Linked DNA regions of Saccharomyces cerevisiae S288C. The gene in region 4 interacts genetically with the main gene of each other region. Each region holds a gene or a part of one and is shown on either strand. Other genes may lie near its edges. The genes, in order: GAL1, YRB1, RBG2 and CHM7.

Region 1 (6,142 bases), on a different chromosome or scaffold from region 4:
TTGGACCCGTAAGTTTCACCGTTTTTCAAGGTTACACAATCTTTCCAGTTCTCTTGATTGATAGCATCAATGTATCTACCAGGCTCAATTGCAAAACCTTGTCTTGCTTCGTAACCAGCAGACAAGAAATCACCGGTATAAAATTGATAAGTTGGCTCTGTACTTAAAACTTCTAATGTAATATTGGAATCGGGATGAAAAGCCTTGACAATAAGCGTCAATTCATTGTTTAGAGTATTGATTTGACTTGGCTTAGCATTTTCATCCACCACAAAACAACAATCAAACTGGGGATTTTTGGGGCCTAAGACCGTTGGCTTTGTAGAGTTAAAGGTAGCAATTTCTCTATCGACGATATTACCCGTAGGAATCATGTTTTTGTCGACATCAACAGATTTTTTTGAACGCACCATAATCTCCGTACCCTCAATAGTGTCTCCATATGGCTTGTTCAGATTGAAATAACTATGATTTGTTAAATTTATTGGCGTCGCTTCACCAGCAGTCAATTTACCTTTATATACCATTTCCAAACTTTTTTGGGCAACGTTCACAGTATACTGTATGGTTACCAATAGATCACCTGGAAATTCGGTGTCCTTCTCATTATCTATCAGCATGTACTCGGCGGTAAAAACATCCTTTGAAGGATTTTGAATGATGGGTCCCAAAAATCTTTTTCTGTGGAAAGAACCGATACTACTATGATTCGCATTAACGCCGTTATTAACGGTTAACTGATAGTCTTTGTTGCATAAACTAAACTTACCCTTCGAAATACGATTAGCATACCTGCCGATCGTGGCGCCTATATAAGCACTATCAGGATTCAAATACCCTTCCTCATTTTCATAGCCAAGAACAACTGATTGTCCGTTCACTTTCAGGTCAACAATGCTGGCGCCCAAATTGGCAAACGTGGCTTGAAATCTGGTGCCGGCACCAATAGTCACAAATCTTGCGTCATAACGCATATCTTCAGCGGAAAATCTGGCCTCGACACCCCTTAACTGGTAACCAAAAGGATTCTCAGTAGTCCATTTCCATAAATCCTTGCAGGAGTCTTCAACCTGCAACTCGGTCTGCCATTTCAGTTCGCGTTTGGCCCTATCTGGTTTAGCCGTCAAGTTCAAAACATCACCTGCTCTTCTGCCCGTAACTTTGTATGGAAGATCAATACCAGAAGCTTTGCAGAATGCATGATAAACTTCAAAAACTGTAGAACCTTTACCGGAACCCAAGTTCCACTCACGACACAAACCTTCATTTTCATTGTAGGCCTCTAGGTATTGCAGGGCTGCAATATGACCTTTTGCTAGATCAACTACGTGGATATAATCCCTGATCGGGGTACCATCTCTGGAATCATAATCGTCTCCGAAGATGTAAAGCTTCTCGCGCCTACCAACAGCTACTTGAGCCATATATGGCAACAAATTGTTTGGTATACCTAGCGGATCTTCTCCGATTAATCCAGAGGGATGTGCGCCAATTGGGTTAAAATAACGCAAGATAGCAAACTTCCAACTTTTTTTGTCGCTATTGTAAAGATCATTCAAGATATTCTCAATGGCGTATTTCGTATGACCATACGGATTAGTAGGCCCTAAGGGACATTCTTCTGGGATAGGAATCATATTTGGGAATCTCGTAGCATCACCATAGACAGTAGCAGAAGATGAAAAAACAAATTTGGAAACGTTGTATTGTTGCATTAACTCTAATAAAACGACAGTTCCCAAAATGTTATTGTGATAGTATCTCAGCGGGATTTGTGTAGATTCACCTACAGCCTTTAAACCAGCAAAGTGAATTACCGAATCAATTTTATATTCTTTGAAAACCTTTTCCAGACCTTTTCGGTCACACAAATCAACCTCATAGAAGGGAATGTGATGCTTGGTCAAGACCTCTAACCTGGCTACAGAATCATAAGTTGAATTCGACAGGTTATCAGCAACAACACAGTCATATCCATTCTCAATTAGCTCTACCACAGTGTGTGAACCAATGTATCCAGCACCACCTGTAACCAAAACAATTTTAGAAGTACTTTCACTTTGTAACTGAGCTGTCATTTATATTGAATTTTCAAAAATTCTTACTTTTTTTTTGGATGGACGCAAAGAAGTTTAATAATCATATTACATGGCATTACCACCATATACATATCCATATCTAATCTTACTTATATGTTGTGGAAATGTAAAGAGCCCCATTATCTTAGCCTAAAAAAACCTTCTCTTTGGAACTTTCAGTAATACGCTTAACTGCTCATTGCTATATTGAAGTACGGATTAGAAGCCGCCGAGCGGGCGACAGCCCTCCGACGGAAGACTCTCCTCCGTGCGTCCTCGTCTTCACCGGTCGCGTTCCTGAAACGCAGATGTGCCTCGCGCCGCACTGCTCCGAACAATAAAGATTCTACAATACTAGCTTTTATGGTTATGAAGAGGAAAAATTGGCAGTAACCTGGCCCCACAAACCTTCAAATTAACGAATCAAATTAACAACCATAGGATGATAATGCGATTAGTTTTTTAGCCTTATTTCTGGGGTAATTAATCAGCGAAGCGATGATTTTTGATCTATTAACAGATATATAAATGGAAAAGCTGCATAACCACTTTAACTAATACTTTCAACATTTTCAGTTTGTATTACTTCTTATTCAAATGTCATAAAAGTATCAACAAAAAATTGTTAATATACCTCTATACTTTAACGTCAAGGAGAAAAAACTATAATGACTAAATCTCATTCAGAAGAAGTGATTGTACCTGAGTTCAATTCTAGCGCAAAGGAATTACCAAGACCATTGGCCGAAAAGTGCCCGAGCATAATTAAGAAATTTATAAGCGCTTATGATGCTAAACCGGATTTTGTTGCTAGATCGCCTGGTAGAGTCAATCTAATTGGTGAACATATTGATTATTGTGACTTCTCGGTTTTACCTTTAGCTATTGATTTTGATATGCTTTGCGCCGTCAAAGTTTTGAACGAGAAAAATCCATCCATTACCTTAATAAATGCTGATCCCAAATTTGCTCAAAGGAAGTTCGATTTGCCGTTGGACGGTTCTTATGTCACAATTGATCCTTCTGTGTCGGACTGGTCTAATTACTTTAAATGTGGTCTCCATGTTGCTCACTCTTTTCTAAAGAAACTTGCACCGGAAAGGTTTGCCAGTGCTCCTCTGGCCGGGCTGCAAGTCTTCTGTGAGGGTGATGTACCAACTGGCAGTGGATTGTCTTCTTCGGCCGCATTCATTTGTGCCGTTGCTTTAGCTGTTGTTAAAGCGAATATGGGCCCTGGTTATCATATGTCCAAGCAAAATTTAATGCGTATTACGGTCGTTGCAGAACATTATGTTGGTGTTAACAATGGCGGTATGGATCAGGCTGCCTCTGTTTGCGGTGAGGAAGATCATGCTCTATACGTTGAGTTCAAACCGCAGTTGAAGGCTACTCCGTTTAAATTTCCGCAATTAAAAAACCATGAAATTAGCTTTGTTATTGCGAACACCCTTGTTGTATCTAACAAGTTTGAAACCGCCCCAACCAACTATAATTTAAGAGTGGTAGAAGTCACTACAGCTGCAAATGTTTTAGCTGCCACGTACGGTGTTGTTTTACTTTCTGGAAAAGAAGGATCGAGCACGAATAAAGGTAATCTAAGAGATTTCATGAACGTTTATTATGCCAGATATCACAACATTTCCACACCCTGGAACGGCGATATTGAATCCGGCATCGAACGGTTAACAAAGATGCTAGTACTAGTTGAAGAGTCTCTCGCCAATAAGAAACAGGGCTTTAGTGTTGACGATGTCGCACAATCCTTGAATTGTTCTCGCGAAGAATTCACAAGAGACTACTTAACAACATCTCCAGTGAGATTTCAAGTCTTAAAGCTATATCAGAGGGCTAAGCATGTGTATTCTGAATCTTTAAGAGTCTTGAAGGCTGTGAAATTAATGACTACAGCGAGCTTTACTGCCGACGAAGACTTTTTCAAGCAATTTGGTGCCTTGATGAACGAGTCTCAAGCTTCTTGCGATAAACTTTACGAATGTTCTTGTCCAGAGATTGACAAAATTTGTTCCATTGCTTTGTCAAATGGATCATATGGTTCCCGTTTGACCGGAGCTGGCTGGGGTGGTTGTACTGTTCACTTGGTTCCAGGGGGCCCAAATGGCAACATAGAAAAGGTAAAAGAAGCCCTTGCCAATGAGTTCTACAAGGTCAAGTACCCTAAGATCACTGATGCTGAGCTAGAAAATGCTATCATCGTCTCTAAACCAGCATTGGGCAGCTGTCTATATGAATTATAAGTATACTTCTTTTTTTTACTTTGTTCAGAACAACTTCTCATTTTTTTCTACTCATAACTTTAGCATCACAAAATACGCAATAATAACGAGTAGTAACACTTTTATAGTTCATACATGCTTCAACTACTTAATAAATGATTGTATGATAATGTTTTCAATGTAAGAGATTTCGATTATCCACAAACTTTAAAACACAGGGACAAAATTCTTGATATGCTTTCAACCGCTGCGTTTTGGATACCTATTCTTGACATGATATGACTACCATTTTGTTATTGTACGTGGGGCAGTTGACGTCTTATCATATGTCAAAGTCATTTGCGAAGTTCTTGGCAAGTTGCCAACTGACGAGATGCAGTAAAAAGAGATTGCCGTCTTGAAACTTTTTGTCCTTTTTTTTTTCCGGGGACTCTACGAGAACCCTTTGTCCTACTGATTAATTTTGTACTGAATTTGGACAATTCAGATTTTAGTAGACAAGCGCGAGGAGGAAAAGAAATGACAGAAAAATTCCGATGGACAAGAAGATAGGAAAAAAAAAAAGCTTTCACCGATTTCCTAGACCGGAAAAAAGTCGTATGACATCAGAATGAAAAATTTTCAAGTTAGACAAGGACAAAATCAGGACAAATTGTAAAGATATAATAAACTATTTGATTCAGCGCCAATTTGCCCTTTTCCATTTTCCATTAAATCTCTGTTCTCTCTTACTTATATGATGATTAGGTATCATCTGTATAAAACTCCTTTCTTAATTTCACTCTAAAGCATACCCCATAGAGAAGATCTTTCGGTTCGAAGACATTCCTACGCATAATAAGAATAGGAGGGAATAATGCCAGACAATCTATCATTACATTTAAGCGGCTCTTCAAAAAGATTGAACTCTCGCCAACTTATGGAATCTTCCAATGAGACCTTTGCGCCAAATAATGTGGATTTGGAAAAAGAGTATAAGTCATCTCAGAGTAATATAACTACCGAAGTTTATGAGGCATCGAGCTTTGAAGAAAAAGTAAGCTCAGAAAAACCTCAATACAGCTCATTCTGGAAGAAAATCTATTATGAATATGTGGTCGTTGACAAATCAATCTTGGGTGTTTCTATTCTGGATTCATTTATGTACAACCAGGACTTGAAGCCCGTCGAAAAAGAAAGGCGGGTTTGGTCCTGGTACAATTATTGTTACTTCTGGCTTGCTGAATGTTTCAATATCAACACTTGGCAAATTGCAGCTACAGGTCTACAACTGGGTCTAAATTGGTGGCAGTGTTGGATAACAATTTGGATTGGGTACGGTTTCGTTGGTGCTTTTGTTGTTTTGGCCTCTAGAGTTGGATCTGCTTATCATTTGTCATTCCCTATATCATCTAGAGCATCATTCGGTATTTTCTTCTCTTTATGGCCCGTTATTAACAGAGTCGTCATGGCCATCGTTTGGTATAGTGTCCAAGCTTATATTGCGGCAACTCCCGTATCATTAATGCTGAAATCTATCTTTGGAAAAGATTTACAAGACAAAATCCCAGATCACTTTGGATCACCGAATGCTACTACTTACGAGTTCATGTGTTTTTTTATCTTTTGGGCTGCCAGTCTTCCATTTTTACTGGTTCCACCTCACAAAATTAGACACCTGTTTACTGTTAAAGCCGTCTTGGTTCCGTTTGCTTCTTTTGGTTTCTTAATTTGGGCTATCAGAAGAGCTCACGGGCGTATTGCCTTAGGATCTTTAACCGATGTACAACCTCATGGCTCTGCCTTTTCGTGGGCTTTTCTAAGATCACTAATGGGTTGTATGGCTAATTT
Region 2 (5,129 bases), on a different chromosome or scaffold from region 4:
TATAAATCGTTGAATGGCTTTTCCGTGGACCGAGTCGAAAGCGTTCCGATGAATTGACTGTTCTGGACGTCGATACTACCAGCTCTCAAACCTAAATCAATAGTATGTTCCTACTATAATACACAACTCGGAATAATCGCGACTTTCAAAGAAACGAAAACTTCTGTACTTCTTTTTTTTTTCAGCACTCTTATAACTATTTTCTATACCGCAAGTCATGCGATAATAAATTCATTAAACGAAAAATCACTTACTCACTTTCGCTCTTGCCGGCGCGTTATTAACATCAAAGGAAGAAGATTCAACAGTCGGAGAATGCTGCTCGTTGCGATTACTCTGACCATTAACGAAATTATTCATAGTGGGTCTTAGCAGATTGAAGTCGAATTCACTTTCACTAGGAATTCGTACGACGGCAGCCACTGGGCGCTGTAAGTCTTTATCAGTCGAGCTAGCTTGTTCTTCTGATAAAGGCGGTGGCGCTAAATATTCCGTTTTGCCATTAGGATGAAACTCTCCTCGTTCGTCGTAAAACCCCAAATCATTCTCATTTGCTGTCTCTGTATATTCAGGAACATAGTCTTCAACGCAACGCTGTGTGCCATTGTAATCTCTCTCGGACTGCCTGTAGGTAGGCGGGGTTAACCAAGCGGTTCCCCTAATCGGAGCTTGACCCATAATTCTTCTTCTCCTATTCACTTTTGCAGTTGAAAACAGAAGTATAAGGAGTGCAACTATGAAAAAAATAAAAAAAATCCATCTTCCCCATCTCCATGAGGAAGAGCTAAATGGATCATCATCTGTAATCGCTTCACCATTGTTATTATTATCATCCTGTCTTTTATGTATTAGGAAGTCGATCTGCTCCCGTAAAATCATTTCAAAACTATACTCTCTGTTTAGCTAAATTTCCTTCAGCTTTCTAGCGAGCTAAGGAATGTATTCCAAATTTACTGCTCCTTTATTACGTCAAAAATTTCTATAGTATTCGATTCTCATTAGTAATTATAAAGGAGTAGCGAGAAAAACAAAAATAAAAGGGCGGAAACATAAAGATGGTAAATAAGACAGAGAATATTACCCGGAAACATACTACGAGATTATTGAGCTAATCTCCATGCACCAAAGTGGTTAGACATTTGGCTACATTGACTACTGCAACAATTACTTGAACCCTCTAATCCTTCTTACATATCTATTCATATGTGATTTCACAATGCTACATAAGCGTTTTTTATATAATTAAAGAGCAACTTTTCCTCACAGTAGATAAAAATATATATGCACGCTGTAAAGGAAAATTACATTAGGAACAAAAAAATCTAGACGCAAGTAACAAGCACATCGAAACTAAGCCTTTTTGTTGATTTCTTGAGCTTTTTCAAATTCTTCTTTAAATTTATCAGCATTTTCCTTACTGCCAAATCTGATAGCAAAAGTGAAGGCTTCTGCTTCACCTTCTGCAATATCTGCTGTACAAGCATACACCCAAGATCTATCAGAACCAACGTTAGGCTTCAAAGTGTATTCTGGAGCAATGATGTGGTTAGCACAAATCTTTAAGGTCTTGTCTCTTCTCATCAATATTCTAACCTTGTTAGTCTTTTTGTTCTTCAAGAACTTACAGTCACCAGTACCTCTTTCTTTCCATTCCTTGGCATCGGCATCGAATCTGAAAAGCTTGGCTCTGACCTTGTAAAGAACTTCTTCGTCTTCTTCCATTGTCTTAACATCTACCTTTTCCAGGTGAACCACTGGTTCAAAATGGATATCTGGTGATTCTGGAGCATCATCACCTTCCTTCTTGGTTTCCTCCTTGGTATCTTCTTCGTCTTTCTTGGTTTCTGGCTTTTCGGCCTTCTTACCACCAAACATGGAGAAGACAGCAGAGGATGGTGGCTTTGGAGCAGCCTCTTCCTTCTTGTCGACGACAGGTTTCTTATCTTCGCTAGACATTCTTTTTCTATAGTTGTGTTTATCTTCTTGCTTTTATTTCAAATTAAACAAGATCTTTCTTCTTTCTCCAATTGAATATCAATTTCATCATCAGATTTTAGTTTCTGTTTTATTTTTTATTTTTTTATTTTTTTTTTGTTTCTTGTTTTCCGCGTACTTCCCGCTGGGCGAAAAAAGAAATGAAAAAAAGAAACGACAGGAGCATCGTGTAGGACGAAGCCCCTTATCCCCTAGTTACCGAAGAAGGCCACCAATCTTAAGTTTGATAGAGCAGTACTTATATAAGGCTATATATAGACTGGTTCACAAGGTTATCAATATGAAACTTGCGCGATCACCGATTTACGGGATTTTTCAGGAGCGAGGTACAAGATTTGTTGGCCTGAAAAGATCGCAAAACATTAGCTAGAAATTTTCCCCCTATCGTTTTCCGTAGAGTAAATATAATATCAAGAAGATAGTTTTATATTGACTGATTTCACAACCAACTGCATAGATATAAGGAGATTACTAGATACAAGAACGCCTGATAAACAAAAAAAGAAAAATTAACAAAAAAAATCAGTAGAATGAGTCAAGTTAATACAAGCCAAGGACCGGTAGCCCAAGGCCGTCAAAGAAGATTATCATCACTAAGTGAATTCAATGATCCATTTTCGAACGCAGAAGTCTACTATGGCCCCCCAACAGACCCAAGAAAGCAGAAGCAGGCAAAGCCCGCTAAGATCAACCGTACGAGGACTATGAGTGTTTTCGATAATGTATCTCCTTTCAAGAAAACTGGTTTTGGTAAACTTCAACAGACTAGACGTGGTTCTGAGGATGACACCTATTCAAGTAGTCAAGGTAATCGTCGTTTCTTTATCGAAGATGTCGATAAAACACTTAATGAACTACTGGCTGCTGAGGATACCGATAAAAATTATCAGATCACCATCGAGGATACCGGTCCAAAAGTTTTGAAAGTCGGTACCGCAAACTCCTATGGCTATAAGCATATTAATATTAGGGGTACGTATATGTTATCCAATTTGTTGCAGGAACTAACTATTGCGAAAAGTTTTGGTAGACACCAAATTTTCTTAGATGAAGCTCGTATAAACGAAAATCCCGTCAACAGATTATCAAGATTGATAAACACACAGTTCTGGAACTCTTTGACCAGGAGAGTTGATCTGAACAACGTAGGCGAAATTGCAAAAGATACCAAGATTGATACGCCGGGGGCAAAAAATCCAAGAATCTATGTTCCTTATGATTGTCCAGAACAATACGAATTTTATGTTCAAGCTTCTCAAATGCATCCATCTTTGAAATTAGAAGTTGAATATTTACCAAAAAAAATAACGGCAGAATACGTCAAATCCGTCAATGATACCCCCGGTTTACTAGCATTGGCTATGGAAGAGCACTTCAATCCTTCTACTGGTGAAAAAACTCTCATTGGTTACCCTTATGCTGTTCCTGGTGGTAGATTCAATGAATTATATGGTTGGGACTCCTATATGATGGCACTAGGTCTCCTAGAAGCCAACAAGACTGATGTTGCAAGAGGTATGGTGGAGCATTTTATTTTTGAGATTAATCACTATGGAAAAATATTGAATGCTAACAGAAGCTACTATCTATGTAGATCACAGCCCCCATTCTTGACTGAAATGGCCTTGGTAGTATTCAAAAAACTTGGTGGTAGGAGTAATCCCGATGCTGTGGATTTGTTGAAAAGAGCTTTCCAAGCAAGCATAAAAGAGTACAAAACTGTTTGGACCGCATCTCCAAGGCTTGATCCCGAAACAGGCTTATCCAGGTACCATCCTAACGGTCTCGGTATTCCTCCGGAAACTGAAAGTGATCACTTCGATACCGTTTTACTACCATATGCATCGAAACACGGCGTTACCTTAGACGAATTTAAGCAACTTTATAACGATGGTAAGATAAAGGAGCCTAAATTGGATGAGTTTTTTCTTCATGACCGTGGCGTTAGAGAATCTGGACACGACACTACATATAGGTTTGAGGGCGTATGTGCCTACCTGGCCACTATTGACCTGAATTCTCTTCTTTACAAATACGAGATTGATATTGCAGACTTCATAAAGGAATTCTGCGACGACAAATATGAAGATCCTTTAGACCATTCTATAACAACTTCAGCTATGTGGAAAGAAATGGCCAAAATCAGACAAGAAAAGATTACCAAATATATGTGGGATGACGAGTCGGGGTTTTTCTTTGACTACAACACAAAAATCAAGCACAGAACGTCATACGAATCCGCAACTACATTCTGGGCATTATGGGCTGGACTTGCCACGAAGGAGCAAGCACAGAAAATGGTGGAGAAAGCACTACCCAAGTTAGAGATGCTTGGAGGTTTAGCTGCATGTACGGAGCGTTCTCGAGGCCCAATTTCTATTTCGAGACCAATTAGACAATGGGACTATCCATTTGGTTGGGCACCCCATCAAATTCTTGCTTGGGAAGGCCTCCGTTCTTATGGTTATTTAACTGTAACGAATAGGCTAGCTTATAGATGGCTTTTCATGATGACAAAGGCTTTTGTCGATTATAATGGTATTGTGGTTGAAAAATATGATGTCACAAGAGGAACAGATCCTCATCGTGTTGAAGCAGAATACGGTAATCAAGGTGCTGACTTTAAAGGGGCAGCTACTGAAGGTTTTGGATGGGTCAATGCCAGTTACATTCTTGGTTTGAAGTATATGAACAGTCACGCAAGAAGAGCGCTTGGTGCTTGCATTCCACCAATATCATTCTTTAGCAGTTTAAGGCCTCAAGAAAGAAACCTCTATGGACTATAGTTGAGATAATATATATATATATATATATATACTCCAGGTACAGTCCTCTAGGTACCTAAATCCTCTTTATATGATCTGCCGATAGATAGTTCTAAGTCATTGAGGTTCATCAACAATTGGATTTTCTGTTTACTCGACTTCAGGTAATGAAATGAGATGATACTTGCTTATCTCATAGTTAACTGGCATAAATTTTAGTATAGGTTAACTCTAAGAGGTGATACTTATTTACTGTAAAACTGTGACGATAAAACCGGAAGGAAGAATAAGAAAACTCGAACTGATCTATAATGCCTATTTTCTGTAAAGAGTTTAAGCTATGAAAGCCTCGGCATTTTGGCCGCTCCT
Region 3 (5,245 bases), on a different chromosome or scaffold from region 4:
TTGTCTAATTGAACAAACTCTGGGTATAGCTTATCGACGAACTTTTTTGGCTGATCGAAGCCATTGCTTTCACTAGCACACTGGATTTTCAATCCATGTTCATCAGTACCTGTGGTAAAGAAGGATAGATTACCTTTAAATAATTGCCATCGATGGTAAACGTCACTTAATAAGCTGGAGTAAAGATGGCCGAGGTGCGGTTTGGCATTGGGATAGAAAATTGGCGTCGTTACGTGGGAGACCTTAGAGTACAGACGATGCACAATTGATCGACATTGCATGTTTTCTTTCGATCAAAACCTATGCTTTCCTTATTTACCTCTGGAGAATAGTAACATTAAAATTTACATTCTTTTTTCACAGTTGTGCGGATTTATTTGTTTGAAACCACCATTGGACTACGTTTTAGTTTTTAAAGAAAGAGAAGGCACTTCGTAATCCAATGTTGCCTAGTACTGGTATTGCTTGCACTATACAAGGAAGTAAGTGTGATTATGTAATGCTGTATACACTCTTTATTCAAACATAGTTCAGAAAAACATATATACAAATATCGCCCCTAAGCCAATTCCCTTCAGACAAAAATTACCATGAGGGCAAAAACACTGTAGAAAATCAACAGTGGGTAGGCAATTAGCAATCTTGCATTTTGCAATTGGAGCAAAGAATTTAAAAATCCAGACGAGGTCCAAGTACTCCAAATTACAAATAGTACTGATACAACATAACCTGTAGTGTTGTTCAAACCATGGAAAATGCCCAGTAAAGAAAGGAAACACAGAGGCAAAAAGCAGTATCCTAAGATGGACGCTGTATTGAAAAATTGTAGGTTCGTTTGAGTGGAAGTATCGTTATTGCTCATTAATTTCGATAGATTGTGCAAAGAAATGGTACCAAACAAAGCGACACCATAGATATATCCAAAATGAACCTTTCCAGCCATCAATAGAAAAAGTCCGAATAACAAAAAGAATATCAAAGGCCCAGCCAAATCTGAATCGTTTAGAATTTCTTGTGGCACACCACTACCAAAACGTATTGGTATAAGAACCATTTTAGTTTTCGTTATGATATGATCGAAATTTATTCCAATTTCCTCCAGTAATGGAGGTTCATGTGGATATCCCTTAGTTGAAAGAGCATGTAAAATACCTACAGGCAAAGGGTCGGGGGCAACACCCAAATTGTTATCGTTGCCAGTATTAGAAGAACCGACGGTATTTTGAAAACTCATTGACCCTTGGGGAACGGCAAATTGTGCAGAAGGCTGATAAAAGCCACCGCCATTATTAGCATTGTTACTAGTATTGTAGAAAGACATCTCGAGAGGGACTAATAGTTGTCTTGCAGTACTTCCCGTCCAATTTGTAGCTGTTATAAGATGACTTGGTTCGTGTCACGTAGTTACCTCACTCAAATAGCAAAATAATCAATGGTTACCCGAAGTGAAAATTTTCGTGATAATAGCGATGAGATTTAAACCCAGTTATAAAAGTCGTACAATATTGAAGCTGTTGATATTGGAATTGAACAAGTACTAACGAGATACGCATTATCAAAACTAACGTAACAAGCACTACAAAATGGGTATTATCGACAAAATCAAAGCCATCGAAGAAGAAATGGCCAGAACCCAAAAAAATAAGGCCACAGAACATCATCTGGGTCTTTTGAAGGGGAAATTGGCTAGATACAGACAACAACTGCTAGCTGATGAAGCTGGTAGTGGTGGTGGAGGAGGGTCTGGTTTTGAAGTGGCAAAATCAGGTGACGCTAGAGTAGTTTTAATAGGTTACCCCTCCGTCGGTAAGTCCTCCTTATTGGGTAAAATTACCACCACCAAGTCTGAGATCGCTCATTATGCTTTCACGACATTGACATCCGTTCCTGGTGTATTGAAGTACCAAGGTGCAGAAATCCAAATTGTGGATCTTCCAGGTATTATTTATGGTGCTTCGCAGGGTAAAGGTCGTGGTAGGCAAGTTGTTGCAACAGCAAGGACCGCAGATCTAGTATTAATGGTTTTAGATGCCACAAAGAGTGAACATCAAAGAGCATCTTTGGAGAAGGAGCTGGAAAATGTAGGCATCAGGCTTAATAAAGAGAAACCAAATATTTACTATAAGAAAAAAGAAACTGGTGGCGTGAAAGTTACGTTTACCTCCCCTCCAAAGACCAATTTAACCGAACAGGCAATCAAAATGATCTTGAGAGATTATCGTATCCATAATGCAGAAGTTCTGGTAAGAGATGACCAATGTACGATTGATGATTTTATCGATGTTATTAACGAACAACATAGAAATTATGTCAAATGTCTTTATGTGTATAATAAGATAGATGCAGTATCATTAGAAGAGGTGGATAAACTTGCCAGAGAGCCAAACACCGTTGTTATGTCCTGTGAAATGGATTTGGGATTACAAGACGTCGTTGAAGAAATTTGGTACCAGCTGAACTTGAGTCGTGTGTATACAAAGAAGAGAGGTGTTAGACCAGTATTTGATGATCCTCTAGTGGTAAGAAATAATTCCACTATTGGTGACTTATGTCATGGTATCCACAGGGATTTCAAAGATAAGTTCAAATACGCATTGGTTTGGGGTTCTTCTGCCAAACATTCTCCTCAGAAGTGCGGCTTAAACCACAGGATTGATGATGAAGATGTAGTTTCTTTATTCGCGAAATAGTATAAATGAATAGATTTTAAAGAAACATGAAAAAACAAGATCAGCATCGAGAACTGTAGTACGGAGCAGAGATTTTGCATGACTAAACGGACTCATTTTCCTTGTAGTAGAAATAAATGCTGAAAATAGGTTTTTTAGTGAGAACCGGAAGGTGTTACTTTCATGGTATATTCGTATATACTTTTATAATGTAATTTGAAGAGCTCCGTTCATAAAAATTGTCATTCTGGGCTTCAAATGAATAAATAAACCCGAATGACAATGAAATCTCGAAATTATAATAGTGGTACCTAGTGTAGTAAGTATAAAGGAACCTTCTCTGTTGTATCTCAGAATGGGATACCTCAGTATGACAATACATCATCCTAAACGTTCATAAAACACATATGAAACAACCTTACAGCAAAACGAACAGAATGAGCAACATGAAAATAAAACTCTGCCTTCCTTAGCTAACCTACTCTAACGTATAAGTATCTGAACAATTGGTTTAGATCCAAGATTCCGCGCTTCCACCATTTAGTATGATCCATATTTTATATAATATATAGGATAAGTAAGATCCCGTGAATCAAGCTGATAAACCGTTTTGACAACTGGTTACTTCCCTAAGACTGTTTATATTAGGATTGTCAAGAACCTTGACATTACCCCATTGCATGATGCAATAATCTCATATAAATAACAAGCGCAAGTGGTTTAGTGGTAAAATCCAACGTTGCCATCGTTGGGCCCCCGGTTCGATTCCGGGCTTGCGCAATGTTTTTTCCATCCCCAAGTATGGGAACTAAAATAGCTAAAAATAAGTATGAAGTTATATTTTTAAACCTATTTACAGTGTACAAATAAATAATATATCATAAATGACACAGACGTATGTTTTAGGATGCAAAAGTTCAAGCTGCCCTTCCTAATTGAGTGACCCGACCCATCTACCAGAAGCGCCACCAGCTTTTAACCTGCTTATCCTGGACTATTTCCTTTGTTTTCTCCTCCGTTTCAGATCTTAGCTGAGACAGTTCATTTCTGATCCTAGCCAACTCTTCTTTTTGCACCTCCTCCGCCCTCACCTTAGCAAAGTGATCTCTGCTTTGAACGTTATCACCGTTCCTTTCCCAAGGTGATTGAAGGGGGCCCGTCTTCCAAATTGGATCGTCACTTTGAGAAGTTTCCTTAACAATTTTCATCAAAGCCTGCTGCTCCGACTGACGTAGTTTTTTCTCCCTCTCATATTGTAAACGTAATTCTGGGGAAAGCTGGCTGATTAACTGTTGATCTGTTGGCGTTGTGTACTTGAAAAGCAGAAACCCGCTTCCAATAATAGCGCCACCAATTGCATAGACTTTCAACCAACGTACCCACAATGGTCTTTCCATACCCAAATAATGCTTATACTGTCTTTGTTTTGCTATTACTGCCTCTCTAGGAGTTATCGCGCACTGCATGTATATAAAATTTTATCTTGATAAAATACCCCGGGGGATGAGCAAAAAAAGGGATATGGGGAATGAAAAGTGAGATAAACTAGCAATAATCTATTCTAATAAGTAGAACATTCACAAAGACTACTATGGTGTAATTCTGAAAGGATTTACGAGAGCACAAATACTATTATGTATAATTCTGACTGCAGAATCCGGCAAGCTTGATTTAATATCACTTAAGGAAGTAATATCGTTAATTGATAACCGAATATGAATCTCAATGCATATTTTGAAGCATATCAAGCCATTTTTCCTTTTCTGTTGGAGGCATTTTTAAGGAAAGAACAAAAAGTATAAAACACTTCGGTTAATAATAAATGATATGTGAATTTTTTTGAAAATATGTAAAATAAATAAGTAATAAATAAAAATAAGATGTGTTTATCGTAATGTACTATACAAGCCTTCCAAGCCGACTTCTGTAATAAAAAAAAAAGGTGCAGCTTAATGTTTGACGGTTCCTATCCTCTCTCCCTTATAAGCTGTAGTTAACCAATCAACTCACCAAACAAAAATGGGGTGAATACTCTAATAGCTGTGATCAAAATCATAATACCTTCCAATAAAGCCATTGGTAATCCCAAGAAACCACGTTCTTCCATGTTCAAGTAAATGGTGTAAAAAGCGACAGCGAAGAAAACCCTGGTCAATTGCAAAGGCTTTGGCAAGACACCAGACAGAAATTCAACGGGTTTGTTGACACAATCGCCACCTCTTTGGAAATATTTGAAACAACCTTTTTGTAATGCCTTCAAGTTATCGCTGTCAGCAGCGAACAAAGAATACAAAGCCACTGACAAAACGTTAATAACGGAATCGTAACTCTTTCTTTCGAAATGGTAGTCTAGTAATTCATCCAAAACCTTTTCACGGTCGCTGAAGTCTAGGTCACCTATTTTCTTAATCAACAAGACAACATCATGCAAACCGACAGTCATACCACCACCAGTCAATGGATGTCTCATATTTAGAGCGTCACCGATAACACACATACCAGTGACGTCGTTTTGTCTAGCTGGCAAGTAGGAGTTTGGCATAGCTCTAAATTTACCTTGGCTGACGGCTTCATCA
Region 4 (5,465 bases):
TTGATGGCATCGAAGTCGAAGATGAAGAAAATGTTAAAGAATACCATGAGATTGAGCAGGCTATCAAAGGTTACCGTGAAGATGTTCGTCAAGTTGTCACCCATCCGGCAAACGCCTTAAGTTTCCTACAACCAGGCAGATTAGTTGAAATCTCTGTCAATGGTAAGGATAACTATGGCTGGGGTGCTGTTGTCGATTTTGCTAAAAGAATTAACAAACGCAACCCAAGTGCTGTCTATACAGACCATGAATCCTATATTGTCAATGTGGTCGTCAATACCATGTATATAGACTCTCCAGTCAACTTGTTGAAACCTTTCAACCCTACCTTACCAGAAGGGATTCGCCCAGCGGAAGAAGGTGAAAAAAGCATATGTGCTGTTATTCCCATAACTTTGGATTCAATCAAGTCGATTGGTAATTTGAGACTATATATGCCCAAAGATATTAGAGCCAGCGGTCAAAAAGAAACTGTTGGGAAGTCTTTAAGGGAGGTTAATCGGAGGTTCCCGGATGGTATTCCCGTGCTGGATCCTGTTAAAAACATGAAGATCGAAGATGAGGACTTTTTAAAGCTAATGAAGAAGATTGACGTTTTAAACACAAAGTTATCCTCCAATCCCTTAACCAATTCCATGAGACTAGAAGAACTATATGGTAAATATAGTAGAAAACACGATTTACATGAAGATATGAAACAATTGAAACGCAAAATTTCAGAATCACAAGCCGTAATCCAACTGGACGATCTTCGTCGCCGTAAAAGAGTTTTGCGCCGTTTAGGATTTTGTACTCCTAATGACATTATTGAACTGAAAGGTAGAGTTGCATGTGAAATATCTAGTGGTGATGAACTGTTACTAACAGAATTGATCTTCAATGGTAATTTCAATGAGTTGAAACCGGAACAAGCAGCAGCATTATTATCATGCTTTGCATTCCAAGAACGCTGTAAAGAAGCGCCTAGATTGAAACCAGAGCTTGCCGAACCTTTGAAGGCTATGAGAGAAATTGCAGCAAAGATCGCTAAGATAATGAAGGATTCTAAAATTGAAGTTGTAGAAAAGGACTACGTTGAAAGCTTCAGACATGAACTAATGGAAGTTGTTTACGAATGGTGTAGAGGAGCTACTTTTACGCAAATCTGTAAAATGACCGACGTTTACGAAGGTTCGTTGATCAGAATGTTCAAGAGATTAGAGGAATTGGTGAAGGAGCTGGTAGACGTCGCCAATACCATTGGTAACTCTTCACTTAAGGAGAAGATGGAAGCTGTCTTGAAATTAATTCATAGAGATATCGTATCTGCTGGTTCTTTGTATTTATAGTTAATCACACACAATTATGTATTTTTATTGGTATATATAATAAACAAATAGATTTCATCAACATTTATTATATAATAACATTTTTGTTTGGGCAAGCACACTATTGATACACCCATACAACTCAATGAAGTGCAGCGTTAGTAGAGACAATAAGAGGAGTTTTAAATTCTTAAACTATATCTGGCAAAACACCACCAAAGCCAGCCAAATAGTATCTCACTGTATCTGAATGAAAGTAGATTTACCAGAATCCAGACTACCATCTTTATATAGAGATTTTAGGCCATTGAAAGATTTAAATCCCGATGGGTACGAAGCAAACATCAGTACATGGAGGGATTTCTTCTTGCAACAATACATCAGCAACTCCAACAGAATCATATTTACTATAGGGACAAGGACTTTGCAAGAATTAACTCATGAAGTTTATGGCGTACCGAAAAGCATTGATATAGCAATTGACGTTCTTGTTAATGAAGGAAATTTGATACCTATGGAATTATTCAATCTTGGTGGAATGTACACTGACAACAGTAGAAAAGGATTTTGGAAGTGGGTTAGAAGTTGGAAGGAGTCTACAAACATGTATAAAAGCCGGAAGGATGAAACAAATTTCTACTTGAGAGAAGACAAATTTATTATCAAAGCAAATTTGGAAAAAGAGTATCAAAGGTTTCATGAATTACTCAAAAGAAGTGTTTTTATGGAGGCTTCATCTATTACAGATTTAGTATTCACAAGGAATGAATTTGTGACCACAGAAAGTTTGCAGTCGTTCTTTTCAACCTATGATGAAGAAACGAAAAACGTGTTCCTGCACTTTATAGAGAATTATAAGCACATAATAGTTTCAAAAGACAATGTTATCAAAGTCATTGCCGCTGAAGTAGAAGACATTACTAGCAGGTTCTCCAAAGGCATCACAGAAAATGACCTTCGAATTGCTAGTGTTAAAGTGGGTATTATAAACATCAACAAACAAATTACAAGGCTAAGAAAAGAAATTAATGAATCTAACATTAAACTGAGAGGACCAGAGTTTAATGAGCTGCCGAAGAGAATAAGGATTGAATATAAACAGGCGAGATTACTATCTGAAAAACATCTTTCTAGGTTACTAAAGTTTCAAAATAACCTCGCTCAAGTAAGAACTCAAATAGACACCAGTGCTACTAATGCGGTTTTAATTCAAACTTTAAGTGAATCCAACGAAGTAATTAAGTCAATTAATGGATATATTGGTTCTACCGAAAAAGTAGAAGACTTACTAGATGAGATTAAAGAGGGTCATGACCGTACCGAAGAGGTCAATGATTTATTAGCTCATTATAATAAAGGTCAAGACGAAGAAGCAGAAGAAGAAATTGAAAGAGAATTAGAACAATTAGAACTTGATGAAAAGAATAATAATAAGGAAGAAAATAAGAACCAGGATTTGCACGAGCCAAAAGAAAGCAGTAGCGAGGATCTATTAAAGAGATTGAATAATCTGAAGATAAATACAAATGAAGGACCTGTGCAAGATAATGAAAACCACGATAATGAGATAAGAAAAATCATGATGGAAGAACAACCACGTTGACGAACTGAGTGACTAATAAATAAATATATATGTATAAATAAAAAATAAATATGAATATTTTAATAGACGGAAGAAAGAAAATATGTGTGAATAACCAAATAGGAAATAAACAAAAGCACATTTAATTGTTGCCGTTATTATTAGAGTAACCTAATGTACGAACTTTGGTATTAGATGCAGAATTATTGGAAGACAAGTTTAGTTCAGACACGTTTTGTCGCAATTGAGAAGTACCATTAGAAGGATACATCCTTGGGGTAGTATATGCTGAAGGAGTCATTGAATCACCACCACCTCCTCCTCCCCCGTCCGACACCATGTCTAAGCTAGATAATTTTTGTAAAGAGTAGTTGGCGCTGTTTGACACATTTGTGCCCAACCTCTGGTAACCAAGACGGGAGGAGGAAGCATCTACTTCCGGTTCTTTCGCCCAAAAAGATGTCAAACCTGAGTAAACCTTGTGTAGAAGAGAAGATTGTTCCATGTAGTCGAATGTTTTGTTATTGGCTTCCAGCGGTTCTAAGATGAGAGTCGATCTGGGCAACAGATCCAACTCTTGCAAACTTTTGAGTTCGTCATTTCGCGTAAGAGTCACTCTTGGTATATTTCTGTGGAAAAGGTAAGGTGTTCCATCATCGTAGCAATTATAGTCTAACCACATCCTTACTTTGTGTAATTTTGTTTGAGGAGGGAAAGTATTAGAGATTGTGTAACCATTGGGCAGTTTCAATTGTAGAGTACAGTAGTTCTGGGCGAGAAACCCCTTTTGACTCTTGTAACTAACATTATCAGTAACTGTCAACTGCTTCCACTTCTGTGGCTTTCTTTGCGGGTCATTAGTATTTTGAAAAACATACTTCCTCTCCAACTTGTCGTTCTGAATCATTCTTTTGACTCTTTGATATTCTTCATTGCTCTTGGAAAATAACTTCCTCTTTGTTACTTGACCCTTAAAGACTGATTGTAACCCATTGATAAAGGTTTCCCAAGGATCCTGCTCACGAGAAAGGCTATTACCTTGGATAGAACATTCGAGTAGACCGTTCTGTAATATGTTAATGCTTGGCGCCGATGAGGAGGGGAAAATGCTCTTGAAAAGCAAGCACTCTTTAGTACCATTTACTAACCTTACCCACAGTATGTTTTCGCGCTCCTCGTCACTAAGATTTCCTGGTTTGAACCACTGATGAAGCCAAGAATTGTCCCCGGCTGCTGAACTAATGTAAACGACGATAACCTGCTCACTAGTATGAGAGTAATCATGAACAACTCGATCATGAAAGAGGCTGTCTATACCTGACATCTCGTACATTTCTGTTATTCAATACCTGTAATTCACTTCCTTTGAGGGTCAAAAATGTCCCCTGTAAGCAAGTGTATAAGTATATAATTATATATATGTGCATATATATGTCCCTATACAACTACTAACGAATCTTAAAAGTTGACTATTCATGTGGAAAAAGTCCCTCTTCTAGGGTTGACGCGCTAGAGGTAAATCCATTAAGGTTCCTCCTGGCTTCGTTAACTCCGAAAAGAATAGCATGTGCAAGATGAGTTACCGAAAGAAGCAATAAAGAAAGCACGAGTACATGTAGAACAGGGGCACAGATAATACCAGACAGATGAGCCCACTTTTAAGAGTTTCAAAACTTCCACGAATGCACAGGGAGAATAAAGTACGCGCTGGGTCCGTTACGATTCGTGCTGCAAGAGGTTTAAAATCGCTCCACAATGGTCTCGCCCCTCGGCCCTTCTCCAATTACAAGCATATTACTAATACAGTTTTCGTTTCTTTTGTAATGTTCAGATAGGAGCGAAAGACTAATTTCGATGGAAATTTTTATCTTCATTTCGATAGTATGTTCAATCAGTTGAACTATGCATCTTTGGTTATCATCATTAACAAATTGAAACGAAAAGCTATCCTGCCAAGAAGGCCGGATAGAGAGATTGAAAAAGATATATAAAGTGTCCTTGTCACACTCATACAACACCTGTTGTATGTCAGGCATACGGCAAATTGACTACAGTTTGCATTTGCACTAATGTCGTTTGCAGTGTAACTGTTGTATTGAACGTGGACAAGGACAAGAAAGATAGTTTTTATCTCTTGATGTTTTTTTATATGGAGGAGAAAGCGACGAAGTCGAAAAAAACGAAAGGAAATAAAATGCTGTCGGAAAAAAAGTTAGGGCTGGTACGGATTATAAACTATCTCAGTAGTTAGGTAATATATAAGATGGCACCAGTCTTAGTACTTGTAAGTTGCTGTTGATTCGTCCCTAGTTATGAATTTGTCTCGTAACAACTTGGCCAAGGCGTCTTTGAACTCACCAACACTAAAGCCTTTTATCTGCTGCTTTACCGTTTCAAATAAATGGTCGTAGTCTAGCCCATTCCTCTCGCTCTTAACGGATCTAGTTATGCATGCCTTTAGTAATTCTTGGGTCCATTGGGAATTACTTCCTTCGTGGTGTGCAGAACTGGTTCTTTCACCGCCTGTGTTGCTACTTTGGAGAGACGCGGTTCTCGGTAGAACCACACGTAGTTTC

The links.
Region 1: mutations in CHM7 (region 4) and GAL1 together harm fitness more than expected from each alone (negative genetic interaction), as found in Saccharomyces cerevisiae (one large-scale study listed by BioGRID).
Region 2: mutations in CHM7 (region 4) and YRB1 together harm fitness more than expected from each alone (negative genetic interaction), as found in Saccharomyces cerevisiae (one large-scale study listed by BioGRID).
Region 3: mutations in CHM7 (region 4) and RBG2 together harm fitness more than expected from each alone (negative genetic interaction), as found in Saccharomyces cerevisiae (one large-scale study listed by BioGRID).

Annotation. Positions count from the first base shown.
Region 1 is NC_001134.8:276,275-282,416, forward strand, and holds GAL1 (galactokinase), read left to right. Parts: upstream 1-2,746; coding exon 2,747-4,333; downstream 4,334-6,142. Other genes in the region: GAL10 (bifunctional UDP-glucose 4-epimerase/aldose 1-epimerase), read right to left, coding at 1-2,078; FUR4 (uracil permease), read left to right, coding at 5,169-6,142. UniProt on the Saccharomyces cerevisiae protein: Galactokinase is a key enzyme in the galactose metabolism where it catalyzes the conversion of alpha-D-galactose to galactose 1-phosphate.
Region 2 is NC_001136.10:449,872-455,000, reverse strand, and holds YRB1 (Ran GTPase-binding protein YRB1), read right to left. Parts: upstream 1,957-5,129; coding exon 1,351-1,956; downstream 1-1,350. Other genes in the region: YDR003W-A (uncharacterized protein), read right to left, coding at 97-219; RCR2 (Rcr2p), read right to left, coding at 247-879; alpha,alpha-trehalase NTH1, read left to right, coding at 2,526-4,781. UniProt on the Saccharomyces cerevisiae protein: Important for the export of protein containing nuclear export signal (NES) out of the nucleus. Stimulates the GTPase activity of GSP1 and GSP2.
Region 3 is NC_001139.9:842,271-847,515, forward strand, and holds RBG2 (Rbg2p), read left to right. Parts: upstream 1-1,583; coding exon 1,584-2,690; downstream 2,691-5,245. Other genes in the region: methionine--tRNA ligase MSM1, read right to left, coding at 1-281; transporter YIP1, read right to left, coding at 575-1,321; CBP4 (Cbp4p), read right to left, coding at 3,623-4,135; YGR174W-A (uncharacterized protein), read left to right, coding at 4,385-4,471; ERG1 (squalene monooxygenase), read right to left, coding at 4,663-5,245.
Region 4 is NC_001142.9:344,416-349,880, forward strand, and holds CHM7 (phosphatidic acid-binding protein CHM7), read left to right. Parts: upstream 1-1,557; coding exon 1,558-2,910; downstream 2,911-5,465. Other genes in the region: ATP-dependent RNA helicase MTR4, read left to right, coding at 1-1,328; UBX6 (Ubx6p), read right to left, coding at 3,032-4,222; YJL047C-A (uncharacterized protein), read right to left, coding at 4,629-4,763; cullin RTT101, read right to left, coding at 5,165-5,465.